Linked DNA regions of Drosophila melanogaster. The protein of the gene in region 1 interacts with the protein of each later gene in a pairwise test. Each region holds a gene or a part of one and is shown in the gene's direction. Other genes may lie near its edges.

What was found.
Region 2: the proteins of CG31441 (region 1) and CG32767 interact in a two-hybrid assay, tested with the Drosophila melanogaster proteins (one large-scale study listed by BioGRID).
Region 3: the proteins of CG31441 (region 1) and Hex-A interact in a two-hybrid assay, tested with the Drosophila melanogaster proteins (one large-scale study listed by BioGRID).
Region 4: the proteins of CG31441 (region 1) and Spt6 interact in a two-hybrid assay, tested with the Drosophila melanogaster proteins (one large-scale study listed by BioGRID).

The regions. Positions count from the first base shown.
Region 1 is NT_033777.3:11,234,295-11,238,246, forward strand, and holds CG31441 (uncharacterized protein), read left to right. Parts: upstream 1-1,991; 5' UTR 1,992-2,062; coding exon 2,063-2,194; coding exon of another isoform or gene 2,195-2,198; intron 2,199-2,255; coding exon 2,256-3,046; intron 3,047-3,105; coding exon 3,106-3,208; 3' UTR 3,209-3,330; downstream 3,331-3,952. Other genes in the region: Arfip (arfaptin), read right to left, coding at 1-150, 214-436; CG17721 (uncharacterized protein), read left to right, coding at 1,115-1,248, 1,307-1,622; CG31388 (uncharacterized protein), read left to right, coding at 3,575-3,691, 3,759-3,952.
Region 2 is NC_004354.4:5,079,729-5,085,044, reverse strand, and holds the start of CG32767 (uncharacterized protein), read left to right. Parts: upstream 1-2,019; 5' UTR 2,020-2,628; intron 2,629-2,805; 5' UTR 2,806-3,559; intron 3,560-3,787; 5' UTR 3,788-3,864; intron 3,865-3,929; 5' UTR 3,930-3,971; coding exon 3,972-5,316.
Region 3 is NC_004354.4:9,584,000-9,588,907, forward strand, and holds Hex-A (hexokinase A), read left to right. Parts: upstream 1-1,890; 5' UTR 1,891-2,219; coding exon 2,220-3,845; 3' UTR 3,846-4,402; downstream 4,403-4,908.
Region 4 is NC_004354.4:6,266,134-6,274,129, forward strand, and holds the start of Spt6 (Spt6), read left to right. Parts: upstream 1-1,663; 5' UTR 1,664-1,773; coding exon 1,774-1,812; intron 1,813-1,973; coding exon 1,974-2,058; intron 2,059-2,633; coding exon 2,634-2,839; intron 2,840-2,991; coding exon 2,992-3,111; intron 3,112-3,180; coding exon 3,181-3,332; intron 3,333-3,397; coding exon 3,398-7,996. Other genes in the region: schlank, read right to left, coding at 274-458. UniProt on the Drosophila melanogaster protein: Histone H3-H4 chaperone that plays a role in maintenance of chromatin structure during RNA polymerase II transcription elongation.

The DNA.
Region 1 (3,952 bases):
GCGTACACTTGTACGTCGATATACTCCAGTTCTTGAGACTGTCGATCTTGGAGGCGCTAGTGCGTATAATGCTGCCGCTCCCGCTGTCCGTGGGGCTCAGGATGCCGTTACCGGATGGTGGACTACTGGGCGACATGGGTGTGGTGGGTGCTGCACGAAAAGATCGATGCTGAGTCAGTTGGTCGCTAAATCGAGGACTCGTAAATAGTTCACCTGAATGGTTTCTTAGTGGCAGGCTGCTGGGGGCGCCAAAGGGGCCGCCGACACCAACTCCAACGTTGCCGCCACCACCTCCTCCGCCGGCGATGCTGTGGCTGCTGGCGCTTCCAAGGATCCCGCTGCCGCCTTCGGTGCCCGTGTGCACCGCTCCGCAGCTGTCGTTCAGCGAGGGCGCATCCTTCAGCATTTCGTGAATGCTGCGCTCGCGGTCCGTCATAGCTATGGCCGTCGTTAAGTTAACCGCCCGTCTCACCGAGTAATTGCCAGCGGAAAATCCTCCTGTCTGCCCGTTTTGTGTGGGGGTGTGCCCGATTAGGTGTCTGTGTGTGTGTTTCTCGGGCAACGGCGCTGGAGGTTTCACTTCGATTTCCACGCCGAAATCGATGGCGCACGCTGGGCGAGTCGAGACTTTAGTAACCCCTGCCTGGACTCGTCAAAATTCTCAAATCCCTAAAATTCCGCATAAAGTTCATCAAACTGTGTTCACGAACTGAAAATCGGTGTGACTGTGCGCGAGTAGGTGGTTAAATGCCACACTTGGACTGCTTGGATACCGGCTGTGCGACACGGTATTTTAAAGGCGGAACGGTGGAGTTTGGAACACGGGGAAGTCCTGTCCTGCAGGTCAAGTCGGTGGGACGTGGTTTGGCGGGACAGTGACTGCTGCGAGGACTCTCCTCTGCGGCACCAGCATTAATTTTTAATTCATTTTCATATATATTCTTGATCATGATCAATAGGCCAGTTGATGTGGCCAAGCAATTCTATTTGGATTTTCAGTGCCGACCAGTTGCGGTCCCACTAAAGTGGAAATTTGATTTAATTTTTGGGGATTTCATGGAAAATCTCTACTTATTTCTATTTCCACGTTACTTAGGCCAATAGCCAGCGGAAAATGGTCTACGTGAATCTAATAATAGGCTTGGGCCTGGTGTCCGTTGCCGCTTTCGCCTATTTCAATTGGCATAACGACCGCAGTTCGCCTTACTCCAGGTGGGTGCTATTAAATGAGCGTCGAATCGTGGGCAGGTTGGTGCCTTGCGATTCAAAGCTAAAATGTTGGCTTAAATCCCTTGTTTCATTGCAGGTCGCCGAATGGCAGGTGCACCTTTTGCCAGTATGAACTGAGTGATGACGACCGGCGCCGCATGAGGTGTGGACATGCCATGCACAATCTCTGCTACTTGGTGTTTCGCTATTCCCATAGAAAGTGCCTCGAGTGCGATAAGGTGGTTAATGTCAATATAGCCGGTGACTTGTGCACGATTTGTTTAGATCCCCTAAGTGTTTACACCATGGTGTATCTGCGCTGCAGCCACGCCTTGCATGAGAAGTGCCTCCACCAGTACCAGGCTAATGGTGGCCGCCACTGTCCGGTCTGCAGAATGGGAATTAAGGAGTAGGTATCACCTAGTGATCATGCAGCCAGGCAAAGCCATATATCAGCATAAGCGTGCACTTAATGCAAGGCTCAACGAATTTTATATATAACATTAAGTCGAGAGCAAAGAAGTCTGATTAAGATTTTAGTTCTGAAACGAATAAAAGTTAGATTTCTTAAAAGATGCCGATTTCAACCAAATTGTTGTTTAAAATGAAAGAAAAGTATTGGATGCGTCTATGCTTTTTCAAAAAAAAAAAAAATAATACAATTTTATATTTTTGTTTTGAATTGTTCAAATATCGTTTAGCCAGTGTGTACACACCACGCACATGCACTTAGTAAACAGACAACAGCTGATGTGCATCTTCATTATCTCGCTTGCCATTCACTTGAATGTAATGCATCACAATAATGTTGAGTTTTAAAAAACCTTTTTAAATATCGTTTGGTTTGCTCAAAATGTCTGAGTTGCGATCGATTTGCCGAACTTGTGGCAAAAATGTGACCAATTTGCAGGGTCGGGCTACCAAACTGTTCAACAAAAGCAACTATCACTTTATTAGTATACTGGAAAATATCACCGATATGTATGTATGTAAGTGAATAAAACTAAAGTATGCTGTCTATTTAATTGATTTAAATGATTGTTTAGCTCGAATTTGACACCACTCTGCCACATCTAATTTGCCAATGTTGCAAAGTGCAGCTGGACAGGATCTTAACATTTCGCAATAAGTGCTTGGAGGTCCACAAGTCTTTTATGGCCGCTAACAGGAAACTTTTGCGAAAAAAGGCGATAGTTGATGAGGAACTCGATAAACCGGATGTTGAGAAGCTACAGCAGGATTTGTGGGACCACACGGATCAGGAAATGTGTGTAGCAATGGCAGATACAGCTGGGCTTCTGCGGGAAGATCACAATGATAATGAGAAGGCGAAGGACGCAGAAGATGCGACTCAGAATGAGAAGAATCAGGAGGAACAAGTACAAGTACAAACAGAGGAGGTGGAGCACTGTCAAGAGCAGCTCCATAACATGTCCATCATCTCGAAGGGAGTAAGTGCCCGTGTCCCCAAGCGTACGAAGCGCAACTCCAAGTCCTGGTTCTGTGACCAGTGCGGCGGCGTCTTCAAGTCCTCTACCTACCTCAAACTGCACCTGCAGCGACACAGCGGTCACAAACCGTTCGCGTGCGACATCTGCCAGGCCAAGTACTACACGGATAACGAGATGCGGCGCCACAGAATCCTTCACACGGACGCCAGACCGTACGCTTGTCGGTTCTGTAGCAAGACCTACCGAGGATGCAGCAGTAAAGTGGTCCACGAGCGGACCCACACCAACGAGCGTCCCTTTCAGTGCCAGCATTGCGACAAGGCCTTCACCTCCACGTCGACGCGTCAAAAACATGAGATGCTGCACACTAATCAGCGGAAGTACCAGTAAGTAGGAGCACTAGCTGTCCTCCGTAAAATATGTGCAAACTGACTGTATTTTCCAGCTGCGAGATCTGTGACCAGTGGTTCCTGCGCTCATCCCATTTGACCCTACATCAAAGCACTAAATTACACCAGCGAAGAGCTGAAAGTGCTAGGATTGTCTAGAATTCATGTGGACTGCTGAAAGTACAAGTTTATTATAAGATTCCTAAATTGAACAAATTGATTCTATTTTTGATTTGATGGTTCTAAAAGAAGAAATAATCAAAATGTACACCTGTGACATCAAAGGTTTTCGACTTTTCGCTCTGCAGATACAATGGTTTATTTCTTGAAAAAAACTTGTAACAACAAATTGAGATTTTGAAAATCGGCGGAATGGCCGCGTTGCTGGGCGAATGTCAATTCGAAATCGACTATGCGTGGGGCTGAGAAATGCGAATGCCGCTTTTCTTGTTCTTCCGTCCAAACAAACCGAAAAAGATACACTTCCAATCGATCGGGGTGCTGCGTTATCTCATTACACAAGCCATGAGGTACATTTGCAGGACCTGTTCTCGTATGGCTGATCCTGCGGTAGCCAAGAATCTCTTCGATCCATCGAGTTCTTCCGTTTTGCGTCAAATAGAGACTCTAACTAACTTGCAGGTGAGTGCGTTAGCGTTTTGCGAAAATAAAAACCGAATAAATGCCGCGATCTGTAATCACTTTGCAGCTAAAAGAGGACGGCAAGTTGCCCAGGTTCATGTGCCAGGACTGCCAGCACGACCTGCAGATTGCCATCGATTTCCGCCGCGTTTGCATCGAGGCCCAGGAGCTCCTTGAACTTCAGCTAAGGCAGGTGGAAAAGGAGGAGGAGGCGTTCGAGAGCCTGGCGGAGCAATGGCTGGATGATTGTCCGGATGAGTT
Region 2 (5,316 bases), on another chromosome or scaffold:
TTTTACATTTTTGCCAACGTCAATTGTCAAGTTATTTAATTGTTCGAATAGACTGATTCAGGTTAATTGAAAAACGGCTATAAAACGGCGGCATTTCGTGTTTCTGTGTATAAAAAACCGGTAAAAATTCAAAAACCCAGTTTCAGTGTGCCCAGACATCAAGTAAGTATTTTAGTATTTTCAGTTTTAGTTTTAGGTTTTAAATATTTGGCAATTGCACCTCCTTTCGATGTATCGATGTACCTACAAAGTATCGATAGTGACTGTTGCCAGTATCGCTTTAGTTATTCCATCTCTAAGCATCAGGCTTTGGTCACATTACCAACCTTTCATAAAAAATAAAAAACAAAACAAAAAGGCGATAAAACGCAATTAAAGCAACTGTAAAAAACATAACAAACTAAAACCACTGATAAACTAAACCAACTGCATTGCACACACCCCGCAAACAAACGAAAATGTGATGTTAAGTGTGAGTAAAAACCGATGGAAAAGCGAAAGGAGTGTGCGTGTCGAGCATGTGCGAGTGTGTGTGTGTGCGTGCGCGTGAAGTGCGAATAATGTGTGATGGAGAGAGGGCAAGAGAGCGGCGCCAGCTAAAAAATATAAACAATTAAATAAATATGTAAATTTATATATATGGATGTATGGCATGGAAGTAGTTATCCACTAGTTACGAAAAGAGAAAAACAAAAGAACTAGTTCTCTTTTCTTTGAGTGTGCGTGTGTGGTTGTGTGGGGGAGAGGATTCCAGCTGCCTTTGTGTGTGAATTTCATTTAGTTTTTTTTTATCTGCTATTATTTTGTTGTGCGGATATTTTTTAACCCTTGTTAGCCCTTTATTTTGCTGATGTTTGCGTTAGTGTGTGTGTGTGTGCTTTCAACCCCCAAAAACTTCACCACCCGTCGCCGCCCGGCGAAAAATCACTGAGCAATAAAACCACCCACTACCCACCAAATGAAAAGACCAAAAAAAAAACGAAGCGAATTATTTCCCACTGAAAATTTTTTTCTTCCAAGGTGATGATGTTTTCTTCCTCTTGCTCCTCATCTTTCCAGGAGCAGCACTCGAAAAAAGGGAGAAGCAAGATGGAGAAGGAGAGTGAGTGAGTGAGAGAGAGCACAATTCAGAAACTGTCGAAATAAAACGGCTTCTCCACCTCTCACGCCTTTTGTCGCCCCCCGCTGCGGGCCCCATCGCACAGTGGGACGCGCAGACTAGGTGTTCTAACAAATTTCGAATTTTCACGCTCCAGTGAACTCATAGGCACTAAATTAATGTTTTAAATGTAATATTAATGAGTTTGTTGTTTTATTATCACCTATTTCGCTCCACTGTGCAACGTATGACGCGCTAGCGTCCCCTCTTTCGCTCTCGCGCAATTCGACCATTTTCCATCCTTCTCGCTCACGCCGACTGCCTTTTGGCGTATTTCTTTTGTGCCTATGTATTTCCGCTTGTTAGGTCAGCTCTCCCCCTGCTCCCCCGCCCAACAACGTCCTCTTTTTGTGCTCCCTTTTTGGGCTCCAAGTTCTGGCAGTCCTTTTAGGAACAGTTGTGGCCGAGAGAATAGGGAATTCGTTAAGACGGCCTTCTTTTGAAAGTAGATGCTCGCTTGTAGTATGATCTTAAAATGCGTGTACTAAGCCCCTATTAAATTAATAATAATAATTAAATGTTGTTTTTCATTTCTTATTTAAAAATAATCTGTTTAAGGAAAAATTAATAGATGTTGAGTAAGATGTACCTGATAATACTATTTCATTGACCCCTGCTGTATATTTTGGTTTTGTGTTGTGAGTGAGAACGAAGTTGTGTGGGTGTTTAAAAAGGGTAAGAAAGGCAAAAAAAAAGGCGAAACGGAGTAGGACAAGAACCAAAAAGAAAAACGAAATAAAAGTAACGTTGTTTTGTGTGCGGGCCAACCGAAAACCAATTAACTTTTTGAATATTGCACGAAATTGCGCGCCATCGCCCGTTCGTTTACCAACACTGACCGCCGAATGCAACCCTGCGCAACACTAACTCACACACACGAGCGTAGTAAGACCCAGGGAGGCAAAAATTCACACACAAGCAAATATTTTTTTGTTATTATTGAACAGTGTGGAAGAACAGCGCGAAAGGGAAAAACGAGCTTGCGGATGTGAAAAGTAAAGCGGGTGTGTGGAAAACGGCAACAACAAAAGGCGAACGGGGGAAAGCCAAAGAAAAACTACTCGCGGGGGAGCAAAAATCGGCTGGGAAACACGGACGAAGAAGAAGAAGAATAGGAATCAGAGTAGGAGAGCAAGCAGCAGCAGAAGAAGAAGAAGCAGCGCAGCCGCTAATTGTCTCGTCGTTCGTTGTTGTTGCTGCCTTGCAAAAAAAAAAACGAAACCGAAAAAGAAATGGCAAAAAAATAACGCAAACAAATTCAATAAAACGAACTAAACAATTAGCAAGTTAATAAACGCAACATAAAACCAAAGGAACGAACAGCAGTGGCAAAAGAAAAAGGCAAAAGAAGAACAATCGAAAAGGTCAAAAAGTGTGAGCAAGGGAGAGGAGAGACTTCCCCAAAAAAAACCGAAAGAAAAATGGAGCAAAAGTGAAAAACCTGTGAATGTGTGTGTGTGTGAGAGATGGTGAGAGAGAGAGTGGGGGGAAAAGCTAAAATTAATTTTTTGTTTTTATTTCCAAGGCGCGCACTGGTGTGTGTGTGTGAGTGTGGGTGGAAAATCGGATTTCGTAAAACGCATTTAATTGTTAACAGCAGCAAAAACGTGTATAATTTACCTGATTTTTCTACATCTCACTTACAGTTAGTAATCAAATTGCACAAAATGCGAAAGAGGAGAGCAGATCAATAATAATAATAATAACAAAAAGGAAAGGAGCAAATGTAACGACTTCTGTGTGTGTGTGTGCGTGCGTGAAGCAAACAACAAAAAACAGCGCAGAAACATTTTTAACTAAAATGTGGAAAGCAAGCAAGGAAACAACAAAAGCTAAAACAACAACGACAGCCAGGAGCAGCGCAGCCAGCAGCGACGTCGACGCCAGCGTCGCCGCATGGAAAGCACAGAAAACCGCATGACAAGGAAATGGAAAATTTTTGTGCAGCCCAAAAAACCAAATGTGAACATAAAGGAAAGGCCGACAGCGAGGCGTTGAGCAAACGAAAAACAAAACAAAATACAACAAAAATACAAGAACGTGTGTGTGTGTGCGTGTGTGTGTGTTTTCCAATCGTATAATCGAAGAATAATAGTAATAATAATACGAGTCAAGGAAGAAGCGGCATTCGAAAGAGAACAGAATAAACGGAGGAAGAAACAGATGTAATAACTAAAGCAGAAGAAGAAGCCCATCAGCAAATCTATGAGAAGAAGAAGAAGGCGAAGAGGAAGCGGCAACTTGAAAAATATACAACAATTATTAATTATGGCAGCTTCGACAAACAAAATTCTGTAGAAGAGGAAACAACAGACGCCCAAAGGCAAGATTTTTAAATAGGGAGTAGTAACATAAAAGAAAACTTTGGCAGCCAAAACGACAAGAAACAAACAAAAAATTGTAAGTAACAACAAGCCCTGCTTTTTCCAAACAAAAACTAGTTCGTTTCGATGAAATTATCACTTAATCACCAAAGTTTTGTATAGTTGTTCCTCTCAGTACTGAAAGCATTTCGCTTTCATCTAGTTTTATTTAATAACCCGTACTTTAAGACATCAGAAACTCGAATGGACTTAACTTGTTTGTTAGATTTTGTGGCAGAGTTCATAATATTGTTCTATTTCTCAGGCTAACAATATATTCAACATAGCTGGAGGTTTACGCCAAACACAGGCGTCGCATCCCCAACAGCTCAAGAGAAGAACGTAAGTTATTGCCCACCAGCCATGGCCGAATGTGAGTCTAATCCAAATGTTTGTACGATTTGCAGATACAAATAAGGGAAATATACATCAATTAGTATATCGCTGCCATGGCCAGCAGCGCGACGAACGTCGACGGCGGCAGCGGGACGTCGACGGCGCTGCCATCGCTCTTCCCCGCCGTTGGCGCCGCTGCCGGTGTCAAAGATATGGACGGATTAATGGCCATTAACGATAGCGCCCTATCGCAACAGATCGAATTTATACTGCAGGATGCTCCCATGGAGCAGGACGACGATCCTCACCAGCATACGCATGTGCATCACCATCATCACTCGCAGCATCATCCTCACTCGCATTCGCATCAGCAGCAACAGCAGCAGCATCTTCAGCAGCAACAGCAGCAGCAGCAACACCATCATCCGCATCATCATCTGAAGCTGGACAACAGCAGCAACAACCACCCACCGACCGCAGCAGCAGCCGCAGCTGCCGTAGCAGTAGCAGCAACAACTGCAGCAACAGCAGCCGCAGCAACCAACAACAGCGCTTCCTTTAGCAGCAACAGCAGCAGTAGCAATAGCAACAACAGCAATCACTTGGACAACCAGCAACAGTTGCTCATTCAGCAGCAGCAGCAACAGCAGCAACATCATCTGCTAAACGGACGCCGCATCATAATCCAGGCCACGGGTAACTCGTCCGTTTTAGCCGCCAGCGATATCAAGGAGGAGGACGAGGAGGAGGAAGATCCCGAGCTGAACGATGAGAATCTGCAGGATATCGAAGAGGAGGCTCAGGCAGCCGAGGCCGATGAGGAGCCCGAAACCACCGCGCATTTGTCCACGCAAGTTAAGCTGGAGCTGGAAGAGGATGATGAAATGCCCGACGAGGAGGAGGAAGAGGATGAGGACGATGACGAGGAGCTGCAGCACGGCCAGCTGGAGTACCAAATTAGTGCGGCAACGCAAACAGCTGGAGCAGCGACGAGTAGTGCCGCTGGTGGCGCCGCAACAGCCGGCGGAGGATCACAGCAATTGGTACAACTGCCCGCCGGTAGTATTGTGAGCACAACCACCCACCGATTGTCGGTGCCCGTGACCGAGGCGGCTCTTGTGCAGCTGCAACGACGACCTGTCTACATAAGCAATGCTGTTGGCGGCCTAACGGCCGGAGCAACCTATGTGAGAATGCCGGCGGCCGCTGTGATCAGCCGGAGTCCCATGACGGTGCTGAATGTGGTGCAACAGGCGTTGCCGGCCACACAGCTGATATTGCAGACGCAACAGCAACAGACGCCGGCAGCGGCAGCGGCTGAGCAGCAATTGGCCTTGGCCTTGGAGCAGCAAAGGCAGCAGCAGGAACAGCAGGCGCAGCAACAAAGGCAGCAGCAGCAGCAGCAGGAACAACAAAGGCAGCAGCAGCAACAACAGCAGCAACAGCAGCAGCAGCAGG
Region 3 (4,908 bases), on another chromosome or scaffold:
CTGATGGCCAGCTGACTTCTAGGTGCTAGTTTCTGGCCCCCGACTGTTGGTGTCTGGTCTTGTATAACAGTTATGAGGCCACATGCCAGCACACACGTTTGCAGACATGCCCTCTCACATACATTCCTACAAACATATGGATATACAGACATACATACGTTCGTAAGCCTGTATGTTCACATGCACTCTCACTTGTAGTTGGAAACGCTCTACTCGTTGTTGTTGCAATTACGGACGAGCCTCTTTGGAAAAAATGCTGGAAAACAAAAAAGATCACAAGACATAAACAACAATGCAAAAACGCAGCACCGAATGGAAATTGCACATGAAATCTAGCTGCAAAAATATGAAACAACAAAATTCCATTGAATGGAGAGCCAGAAAGAGCGAAGTAGAGGGGAAGAGAGTGAGAGAAGGAGGGAGCGGAACTTCAAACTGGGCGGCACGTACACACACAAAAGAGGGCAGGGCGGGGAGACGAGCCCCACGGACACTGAACAAAAATACATACAAATGCAAAGATATATGTATTTGAGGATGTTGACGCGTCGCTAGAACTTGAGAATTCCAAGAAGCGGTAAAAACGGGTGAGACGATGATGGTAGGGGAGTTGGGGAGGGGAAGGTAGCTGTCAACAGCTACGCAAACTTGCTCTCCCATTTTTCTGGGTAAACCTTGCTCTTTCTCATCTAAAACGGCATTGTTATACTAACACCGATGCCGAGGGAGAGCGAGATCGCTGAGAGTGGGAAAGCGGGTGGTGGGGCCCGGCGCCGAACAGGGGGTTCAAAGAACGAAGCCAATACGCAGGCAGCAACGAAAAATCCTATTGGCTACTTTTAAATGCGCTACCGACATTAAATGGATATAAATACATGTGTCTCTATCAAATAAAAAAATTTTGCGTACTAACTGGCGACCCACAATGGTAAATATAGTACAGGTGCTTACCTGTACCTGTGGTCTTACTTTTGACCTTCTTCCTTACACAATTTATAATAAAGGCAGTCTACATGTTTAGCTTGAGCTTAATACAAAAGAGATAATTTATTGGGCCTAGGTGGCGTATGAGTAATAAACGTATACTGAATATTTTCTAATAACTTGTTTGCAAAATCAGAAAACTGTTTTTTCTTATATATTTATATAATATATAATACATTTCTGTGCCACAGAAATTCCATTGCACCCCACAGTTTGTAGGGTGTCAATATCAGCCAAATTGCTGACGACGACAAAAGGCGGCTCTCTCATAAGCGGAAGCAAAAAGAGAGAGCGTCGCCGCCAGGCCCTTGTAGTTCCGCGTTTATGGCACGATAAGAACGAGATATTTCTTAAAAATGTTGTAAATTAGTTAGTTAATAGCGTAATTAATATCAAAACAAATTTAACACAGTGATAATAGGCGACCAATTTAATTTGTCAAAGAAATGCAAAACCATTAACCATTAACATTAATTAAACCATTAACATCTTAAGAAAATAATTTTTTTCCTTGAAGAGAAAAGCCTGAAATATATTGACTATATTTGAGATGACAAATTAAAATGTTTATCAAATGCGTGATCACGATATTGCTTACGCGACGCATAAGGGTTTCCGCATAAACACGCGTTTGACTCATTCTCATTCATAGCCACTCTCTCGCCCCCTCTCTCACGCGCACCCTATCAATATGCCATTTGTGGACCCCTCAGCGTCGCACATATACACGCCATATCTCCAACCATGCCGCCCCAAAACCGATTTTCAGTTTTTGACCTTCAAGGTTCCTTCACGGCGAGCGAGAGAGAGAGAGAGTGAGAGTGTGAGCGCGGCTCGCAGTCGCGGTCGGCGCCGGCAGCGCAGCAGCAGCGACAGCGAAAAGTGAGCACCAGTCGGCGAGTGAATTTAATTTCGTAAAAAACGTTCCGAGCGTTTGGACGCGTGCAGCGGACGAAAATAAAACACGGCGAGAGCGAGAATCGTGTGTGTGGACACTCAAAGACTCAAAATTGAAACCAACTCGAAAAGGTTGCACTGCAAATGCCCAAGTAGAAAAGCCAACGCGAGTGTGCACATCGAATACGAAAATTGTAAACGTTTTTTTTTTGCCGTGTGAGTGCAAGCGCATAAGATCGAAGAAAAACAGCCAGAGCAAGAAAGAACCGAAAAAAGGCAGAGAGAATCAAAAAAGAAAAAAGGAAAAAAAAAACAAGCAGGAAAACACCAACATAATAATGGATCGGGAGCTGAACGGGGCGATGAAGAGCGTGTCCATAAATAGCGCCCAACTGAATGGTCACAATAACGGTGGCGGGCTAGATGAAACGGACCGCGTGGGCGTGGCACAGGGGGCGGCACTGAGTGCAACAGAGAAAATTACAACAACGACGGCGGCAGCTACAAAATCAGCGACAGCGACCACAAATGCAACCACAGCAACAGCCACAACCACAAATCTTACAACTCACAGCCCGCAGCAAATTGCACTCTTATCCGCTGCAGAGAAAAGTAAGATGGTGCACGAGTTATGTCAGCAGCTGCTTCTAACGGACGAACAGGTGCAGGAGCTGTGCTACCGCATCCTGCACGAGCTGCGCCGCGGCCTGGCCAAGGATACACATCCCAAGGCGAATGTCAAGTGCTTCGTAACGTATGTGCAGGATCTGCCCAATGGCAATGAGCGTGGCAAGTTCTTGGCCTTGGATCTGGGTGGCACCAACTTCCGGGTGCTGCTCATCCATCTGCAGGAGAACAACGATTTTCAAATGGAGTCCCGCATCTATGCCATACCGCAGCACATTATGATTGGATCGGGTACACAGCTATTCGATCACATCGCCGAATGTCTGTCCAACTTTATGGCCGAGCACAATGTGTACAAGGAGCGTTTGCCACTCGGTTTCACCTTCTCGTTCCCGCTGCGCCAATTGGGTCTGACCAAGGGCCTGCTGGAGACCTGGACCAAGGGCTTCAACTGCGCTGGCGTCGTCAACGAGGATGTTGTCCAGTTGCTAAAGGATGCCATCGCACGGCGCGGCGATGTCCAGATCGATGTGTGTGCCATACTCAATGACACCACTGGCACGCTGATGAGCTGCGCCTGGAAGAATCACAACTGCAAGATCGGTCTGATTGTCGGCACCGGTGCAAATGCCTGCTATATGGAGCGTGTGGAGGAGGCGGAGCTCTTCGCCGCCGAGGATCCGCGCAAGAAGCACGTCCTGATCAACACGGAATGGGGCGCATTCGGCGACAATGGCGCACTGGACTTTGTGCGCACCGAATTCGATCGGGACATCGATGTGCACAGCATCAATCCGGGCAAGCAGACGTTCGAGAAGATGATATCGGGCATGTATATGGGCGAGCTGGTGCGTCTGGTGCTGGTGAAGATGACCCAGGCGGGTATACTCTTCAATGGACAGGATTCCGAAGTGCTAAACACCCGCGGACTGTTCTTCACCAAGTATGTGAGCGAAATTGAAGCTGACGAGCCAGGCAACTTCACCAATTGCCGCCTGGTGCTGGAGGAGCTCGGTCTGACCAATGCCACCGACGGGGACTGCGCCAATGTGCGGTACATCTGCGAGTGCGTCTCGAAACGGGCTGCCCACCTGGTGTCCGCCGGCATTGCCACGCTGATCAACAAAATGGACGAGCCAACGGTGACGGTGGGCGTCGATGGCAGTGTGTACCGCTTCCATCCCAAGTTCCATAACCTGATGGTCGAGAAGATCTCGCAGCTGATCAAGCCGGGCATCACCTTCGATCTGATGCTGTCCGAGGACGGTTCCGGTCGTGGAGCTGCCCTGGTGGCGGCCGTCGCCTGTCGCGAAGACATACTCAATGGCAAGAAGTAGGATGGATAGGGAGCTGGAGCTGGATCAGGAACCAGGAGGAGGAGCCGCTGGAGCAGCTGGAGCAGTCCTAAGAGATACAGCAACACACCCACACAACCACAAAAACAGCAGAGCAAATGAGAAATACCTAGTAAACGGCCACGGTGGCGTATGCGTAATAATTACAGTAGAGCCACGCTAACTCACAAAAGCCCTATAGCCAAACGATATGAAAAAATGAAGCTGCCACGACGAAAAGTAATCGAAAAGCCCACGAAAAACTTATATGTGCATACGTAGGGCATTTGTGAGTTGGCGCGACTTGGCTTTAGTATTTTAATTAGGCAAAAACCAGGTTTTTCACTACAAACACAAGCGTAACAGAAACCCCCCCACTAAGAGACAGAAGATCTGTGGCATTCTATCTCTTTCTCTCCTAGTAAAAGAAAACAAAGAAGAAGAAAAAACACTATGCTTAATGATTATGGATCGATTTTCGATTTTTGTTGAAAATTTGTTATGCTATTATATATATATATATTTTACAAGAAAACATAATATACACACACTAAAAACATAATGTATATGTTTGCGTATATATAGTACAATTTGTGAAGCGAATTTCTTTTCGATTTCGATTGAAACAACAAATTTTTTTTGGTAATTCCCTGCCCAAAAGACCCCTGAAACCCCCCTAAAAAAACGGAGATACTTAAGAGCAAGTGAGAAAAGAAACTGTTATACTACTGTGCTACAAGCATTCTAGCATATCCTGCAGGACAACGGAAAGAGAAACTGTAAAACCGCACATTGTTAAAGCAAAAACGAAAACGAAAAAAGCAACAAAAAACAAGCCGCTAGAGAAGAGACAGAAACAGAGGGATAGAAAGGAAGAGAGCGAGAGAGAGCGAGCGAGAGAAAGAGAGAGAGGATTACTAGGTAATGCTACGGTGTCCTTTCTGTAATTGTAAATGTTTATATAGAACCTATTACGAAGCGTTATATGATAATACTGCATACATATATATAAATATAAATATGATATATTTAGCCACTATATTACTGATTTTTTTTTTTGTAATGT
Region 4 (7,996 bases), on another chromosome or scaffold:
TTTGTCGATAAAAAAAAAATGAAATGAAATGGAGAAAAGAAGGAATTATGAATAAAGTTTACTGTACATGGTGCAACAAACGTGGGGCGGTGGGCTTACTCAATGGTAAGGAGAGCGAGAAAGAGCGGGAGAGAGCGAGGGAAAGCCGTATGAATGGGGTTAGAGAAAGAGGCGGAATGGAATCATGTTGCCGGGAATGGCGAGAATGGAAAGGGAGTCAGTCAGTTGGTTGGGAAGAGTGCGGAGGGGGGAAAATGGACGTGGAAAACTTACCGCTCCAGCGTGTAGCGGACCAGCATGACAACAGCGGCGAATGGAATGGGCCATATGAGGTCCTTGTAGTTGGCGTGCACCACATCTGGACGCGAGCCGGGCGCAATGTCCGCCCAGGTTGTGTTCGGCGGCAGCCAAATGTGCGTACTCCAGAATACATTGCTGAACTCATTCAATATGTCCATGTTGCTGCTTCAGTTGCCGCTTCTTAATTTCTCAATTGTTTGTTTTCTTTTTCTTGGTTTTCCTTTGCTTAGCTTTCCAGTTTTTCCTTGGCGTTTGTTGTCACATATGTATATGCTTTGCTTTTTCTAAATATTCGCAATTGTATGAGCCTGTGTTATTGTGCCTTGCGAACAACAGCAACAATAACAGCAAGAACAACAATAAGCGACAACAACAGCAACAAGAACAACAACAGGAGCACCGGACACTAATGCACACTCACAGCGTAGCACAAACACACACTGGCAAAAAAACAAAAACCGCCGAATCGAATTGTTGTTGTCTTGTCTCGTTAACTTGCGCTTATGGCTTTTCTAATTCTACTTCTATTTCTATTTGGATTTCGATTTAATTCGTTTTTGGAAATGCTACCTTTGCCGTTTGTTTGGGAGCGTAAATGAAGTGAAGTTCCCTGACAATCTGTTCTCGACCAAAGCAATAGACTTTCTGAATTTCGGCTCGGTGTCGAGTCGGCCGCCGCTCGTTTCGTCCACTTAAACTTTCAGGATGAACGAAAAAAAATACTAATAGTATTTCCTCGTCGAGCAACAACAATACAGTGTGCCCAGAGACGGCGGAGCAGTAAATGTAACTGCAGCGCGACAAGTGTGCCCGTGTACGGGAAGACAAGGAAAGCCAGCAAAAATAAGGCTTTAGAAGCTACACAAAATACCAAATGCACTAATAATTTTAAAGAACTTTTAATTCACAAGTTTGCGAATTTTGTTTATTGCTTATTATTATTATTGTTCATTACGTTTACCACTAGTTTTTGAGAGAAATTATTATGCGCTACAATTAGTGTTGGTTTTTCGGTAAGAACTCATAAAAGTCAACTATGTAAAGGAAGTATGCCATGGACTATAATGGAAATTAGCAAACTTCATCGTTGAGACCAAAGGGCATATGTGTGTTCCCATATAGGGGAATTTTCCCGCTTATCAATACAAGTATGTGTGCAAAATTCTTGTCCAATTGTTGTCAGCACATGAAAACGGATAACTAACCATAGGTTATAGGAAGGATCCACTGTAGTTCTGCAATGCAAACCAGGGCTGGCAGCGAGAACACTGCTGTAAGCTAACAGCAAACTGTACTGTAAACAGTAGAAAACTGTTCGTGGTATTTAGTATTTAGCTAGTATTTTAATACCAACTTTTGTGCAATGCGATGAGAAATAAAGAAGAAGAGAAGAGGAAGAAACGCTCACAAACTCTTCGTTTCTCTGCATTAATACGCACTTTATTATTAAGTTAAGCTTTATTCCATTATATTATGGCCGAATTTCTGGACTCCGAGGCCGAGGAATCGGAGGTAGGTGTCTGCGGAACCCCAAAAACACTATTTCTAGAAGCGCGTACCGTTCGTGCGTCGTTATGTGTGCGGTGTGCGTTGCGCCTTGCGTGTGTGTACATACATATGTGCCTACATATATATTGAATTAACCAAATGGCTTTTCTTCGTTTTTCCCGCAGGAGGAGGAAGAATTGGACGTCAACGAGCGCAAGAGACTCAAGAAACTGAAGGCGGCCGTCTCCGATAGTAGCGAAGAAGAAGAAGGTGAGTTTTTCCACTGGAGCCGCTGAAGGCGCGTACAAATACATACATACATACATACGTATGTGGCGATCTCTGGCGGGTTTTTCACCCCTCTCACCATCCATCGATCGGAACAGTCCATATCCGGGATAAAGGCACCTATAACTGGCCAATGCCACACGCTTGCAACTTCTTTTGTTTACAACTTTGAGGTTAGGTCTTGTGTTTTTACCGTGCTACCGTGGCCATCAAATATCAGCATCAGCAGTAGCAATAGCAGCAGCAACAACAACAAACAGCTGCGCTCGTTCCAGTAAATAAAACAAGTGCGGCGAATTGGAAGAACGCGGCGTATTCCAAGAAATTGCAAATCAAAGCAGGGAGGGAGAATTAGTTCAATAGATGGAGCTGGAATAATCAATGGTTAGGGCTTATCTATATCGAAATCTAGGTAATTTATCAAATGTAGGTCTTTCTCAAAACCGGGTGAATTACTTAAATTTAAGCTTTAAAAACAGTTTTCAGTTGCATATGTATATCTGCGGCTACAATGAAGGTAAAAGGTAAACCGATATTCTTATTGCCCTATTCCGTAGACGACGAGGAACGGCTGCGCGAAGAGCTCAAAGATCTGATCGACGACAATCCCATCGAGGAGGACGATGGCAGTGGTTACGATTCCGATGGCGTCGGCAGCGGCAAGAAGCGCAAAAAGCACGAGGACGACGATCTGGACGATCGACTGGAGGACGACGACTACGATCTTATCGAGGAGAATCTGGGCGTCAAAGTCGAGAGACGGGTAGGTGTTCCCTTCAGGGAAGAACTATGTACTTTTTAAACTCCAATTGTGGCTCCAATTTCGAAGCTTAACTAACAAAGAATAACATAGCTGAGGGATTGGGGCTTCTATCTCCTCAAATATATTGTTTGAAATTATGTTTTCCCTTGTAGAAGCGGTTCAAGCGTCTGCGTCGCATCCACGACAACGAAAGCGATGGCGAGGAGCAGCACGTGGACGAGGGTCTGGTGCGTGAGCAGATTGCCGAGCAGTTGTTCGACGAGAACGATGAGGTATGCCACTAGTAATCCCTGACCACCAATTAATGCACAGTGTCCAACTGATTGCCCCTGATCCTACAGAGCATTGGTCATCGCAGCGAGCGCAGTCACAGGGAGGCGGACGACTACGACGACGTGGATACGGAGTCGGACGCAGATGACTTCATTGTGGACGATAATGGGCGTCCCATAGCCGAGAAGAAGAAGAAACGGCGCCCCATCTTTACAGACGCGTAAGTATACAAACTATAATAAAGTTTAGATATCAATAGATACGATTAATATAATCCAACCACAGATCACTTCAAGAGGGTCAGGACATCTTTGGCGTAGACTTCGACTATGACGACTTCTCAAAGTACGAGGAAGACGACTACGAAGATGACTCGGAAGGAGATGAGTACGATGAGGATCTGGGCGTCGGCGATGATACGCGCGTCAAGAAGAAGAAAGCGCTCAAAAAGAAGGTGGTCAAGAAGACAATCTTCGACATATACGAGCCCAGCGAGCTCAAGCGTGGTCATTTCACCGATATGGACAACGAGATTCGCAAGACAGACATCCCAGAAAGAATGCAGCTGCGAGAGGTGCCCGTAACCCCGGTGCCCGAGGGATCAGACGAGCTGGACCTCGAGGCTGAATGGATCTACAAATATGCCTTCTGCAAGCACACTGTTTCGGAACAGGAAAAGCCGGAGAGCCGCGAGAAAATGCGCAAACCACCGACAACCGTTAACAAGATTAAGCAGACGCTAGAATTTATACGCAACCAGCAGTTGGAGGTGCCCTTTATAGCCTTCTATCGCAAGGAGTATGTGAAGCCAGAGCTTAATATCGACGATCTCTGGAAGGTTTACTACTACGATGGGATCTGGTGTCAGCTAAACGAGCGAAAGCGCAAGCTAAAGGTGCTTTTCGAAAAGATGCGTCAGTTCCAGCTGGACACGCTATGCGCCGACACAGATCAACCCGTACCGGATGATGTTCGCCTCATCCTGGACAGCGATTTCGAGCGCCTCGCCGACGTACAGTCGATGGAGGAGCTAAAGGACGTGCACATGTACTTTCTGCTGAACTATTCGCATGAGCTGCCCCGCATGCAGGCGGAGCAGCGACGAAAAGCTATACAGGAGCGTCGCGAGGCCAAGGCGCGTCGCCAGGCAGCCGCCGCTGAGAACGGTGATGATGCGGCCGAGGCGATAGTTGTACCAGAGCCGGAAGACGATGACGATCCCGAGCTGATCGATTACCAACTAAAGCAGGCGTCCAACAGCAGTCCCTATGCGGTATTCCGCAAGGCGGGCATCTGCGGCTTTGCCAAACACTTTGGTCTCACGCCGGAGCAGTATGCCGAAAATCTGCGCGACAATTACCAGCGCAATGAGATCACCCAGGAAAGCATCGGTCCCACAGAGCTGGCCAAGCAATATTTGTCGCCGCGCTTCATGACCACGGATGAGGTTATCCATGCCGCAAAATACGTTGTGGCCCGACAGCTGGCACAAGAGCCTCTGCTGCGCAAGACCATGCGTGAGGTGTATTTCGACAGAGCTAGGATTAACATACGGCCCACCAAGAATGGCATGGTGCTGATCGATGAGAATTCGCCGGTGTATTCGATGAAGTACGTGGCCAAGAAGCCGGTAAGCGATCTATTTGGCGATCAATTCATAAAGCTAATGATGGCCGAGGAGGAGAAGCTGCTGGAGATAACGTTCCTCGAGGAGTTCGAGGGCAATGCGTGTGCCAACGGAACACCCGGTGACTATGTGGAAGAGTCCAAGGCCCTGTACCAGCTGGATCAGTTTGCCAAGCACGTGCAGGAGTGGAATAAGCTGCGGGCGGAATGCGTACAGCTGGCGCTGCAGAAGTGGGTCATTCCGGATCTGATCAAGGAGCTGCGCTCAACTCTGCACGAGGAGGCTCAGCAATTTGTGCTGCGTTCCTGCACGGGTAAGCTGTATAAGTGGCTAAAGGTGGCACCCTATAAACCGCAACTGCCCCCCGACTTTGGCTACGAGGAGTGGAGCACGCTGAGGGGCATACGGGTGCTGGGTCTGGCCTACGATCCCGATCACTCAGTGGCCGCTTTCTGTGCGGTGACTACCGTGGAGGGCGACATCTCCGACTACCTGCGACTGCCGAACATTCTGAAGCGCAAGAATTCTTACAACCTTGAGGAGAAGGCCCAGAAGTTGGCCGACCTTCGAAAGCTGAGTGACTTTATCAAAATGAAGAAGCCACACATTGTTGTCATCGGAGCGGAATCGCGCGATGCCCAGAACATCCAGGCAGACATTAAGGAGATTCTGCATGAACTCGAGACCTCCGAACAATTTCCGCCCATCGAGGTGGAGATAATCGACAACGAGCTGGCCAAGATCTATGCCAACTCGAAGAAGGGCGAGTCTGACTTTAAGGAGTATCCTCCTCTGCTGAAGCAGGCTGCTTCGCTGGCCCGCAAGATGCAGGATCCGCTAGTGGAATACTCACAGCTGTGTGATGCGGACGACGAGATTCTCTGCCTGCGCTACCATCCGCTACAGGAGCGTGTGCCGCGCGAACAGCTGCTGGAGCAGCTCAGCCTGCAGTTTATCAATCGAACGAGCGAGGTGGGTCTGGACATTAACCTGATGGTGCAGAACTCACGGACCATCAACCTGCTGCAGTACATCTGTGGCTTGGGTCCGCGCAAGGGTCAGGCTTTACTTAAACTTCTTAAGCAGAGCAACCAGCGGTTGGAGAACCGCACCCAGCTGGTCACCGTGTGTCATCTGGGGCCCAGGGTCTTTATCAACTGCAGCGGTTTCATTAAGATCGATACCTCATCGCTGGGCGACAGCACAGAGGCGTATGTCGAGGTGCTGGACGGGTCGCGTGTGCATCCAGAAACGTACGAGTGGGCCAGAAAGATGGCCATCGATGCCATGGAGTACGACGACGAGGAGACCAATCCGGCCGGTGCCCTTGAGGAAATTCTCGAGTCGCCAGAGCGCCTTAAGGATCTCGATCTGGACGCATTCGCTGTGGAACTGGAGCGCCAGGGATTCGGCAGCAAGAGCATAACCTTGTACGACATAAGGAACGAGTTGAGCTGCCTGTACAAGGACTACCGCACTCCGTACACAAAGCCCAGTGCGGAGGAGCTCTTCGATATGCTGACCAAGGAGACGCCCGACTCGTTTTATGTGGGCAAGTGCGTCACGGCCATGGTCACCGGTTTCACCTACCGTCGGCCGCAGGGCGATCAGCTAGACAGCGCAAATCCGGTGCGTCTAGATTCCAACGAAAGCTGGCAGTGCCCCTTCTGCCACAAGGACGACTTCCCAGAGCTGTCCGAGGTGTGGAATCACTTTGACGCGAACGCGTGCCCTGGCCAGCCATCTGGTGTGCGTGTGCGTCTGGAGAACGGCCTGCCTGGCTTTATACACATCAAGAACTTGTCCGATAGACAGGTTCGCAATCCCGAAGAACGTGTGCGCGTCTCACAGATGATTCATGTTCGCATCATTAAGATAGACATTGACCGGTTCTCAGTCGAATGCTCTTCGAGGACCGCTGATCTTAAGGATGTGAACAATGAGTGGCGGCCGCGTCGCGACAACTACTATGATTATGTGACTGAGGAGCAGGACAATCGGAAAGTGAGCGATGCCAAGGCCAGGGCTCTGAAGCGCAAAATTTACGCGCGTCGCGTAATCGCCCATCCCAGCTTCTTCAACAAGTCGTACGCGGAGGTGGTGGCCATGCTAGCGGAGGCCGATCAGGGCGAGGTGGCCCTGCGTCCGAGCAGCAAGTCCAAGGACCATCTGACAGCCACCTGGAAGGTGGCCGACGACATCTTCCAGCACATCGATGTGCGCGAGGAGGGTAAAGAGAACGATTTCAGCCTGGGCAGAAGTCTGTGGATCGGCACCGAGGAGTTCGAGGATCTGGACGAGATCATCGCCCGCCACATCATGCCGATGGCCTTGGCTGCCCGCGAACTGATACAGTACAAGTACTACAAGCCAAACATGGTGACCGGCGATGAAAATGAACGGGATGTCATGGAAAAGTTGCTGCGCGAGGAGAAGGCAAATGATCCGAAGAAGATACACTACTTTTTTACGGCCTCACGCGCCATGCCGGGCAAGTTCCTGCTGTCCTATCTGCCCAAGACGAAGGTGCGTCACGAGTATGTGACGGTCATGCCGGAGGGCTATCGTTTCCGTGGCCAGATTTTCGATACGGTTAACAGTCTGCTGCGTTGGTTTAAGGAACACTGGCTGGATCCAACGGCCACGCCGGCCAGCGCCTCGGCGTCCAACTTAACGCCACTGCACTTGATGCGTCCGCCGCCGACGATCTCGTCGTCATCCCAGACCTCCTTGGGCCCCCAGGCGCCCTACAGCGTCACTGGCAGCGTGACTGGTGGAACGCCGCGCAGTGGCATCAGCAGTGCCGTCGGCGGTGGCGGTTCCAGCGCCTACTCCATTACGCAATCCATCACTGGCTACGGCACGTCGGGCAGTTCTGCTCCAGGGGCTGGAGTATCTTCCTCCCACTATGGCAGCTCATCGACGCCGTCGTTTGGCGCCATCAATACGCCATACACGCCCAGTGGACAGACTCCGTTCATGACGCCCTACACGCCGCATGCCTCACAGACGCCTCGCTATGGTCACAATGTGCCCAGTCCCAGCTCGCAATCATCGAGCAGTCAGAGGCATCACTACGGCAGCAGTTCCGGAACGGGCAGCACGCCCAGGTATCACGATATGGGAGGAGGAGGCGGTGGCGGCGTTGGTGGTGGTGGTGGTTCCAATGCCTACAGCATGCAGCCGCATCACCAGCAACGTGCCAAAGAGAACCTCGACTGGCAGCTGGCCAACGATGCCTGGGCAAGACGCAGACC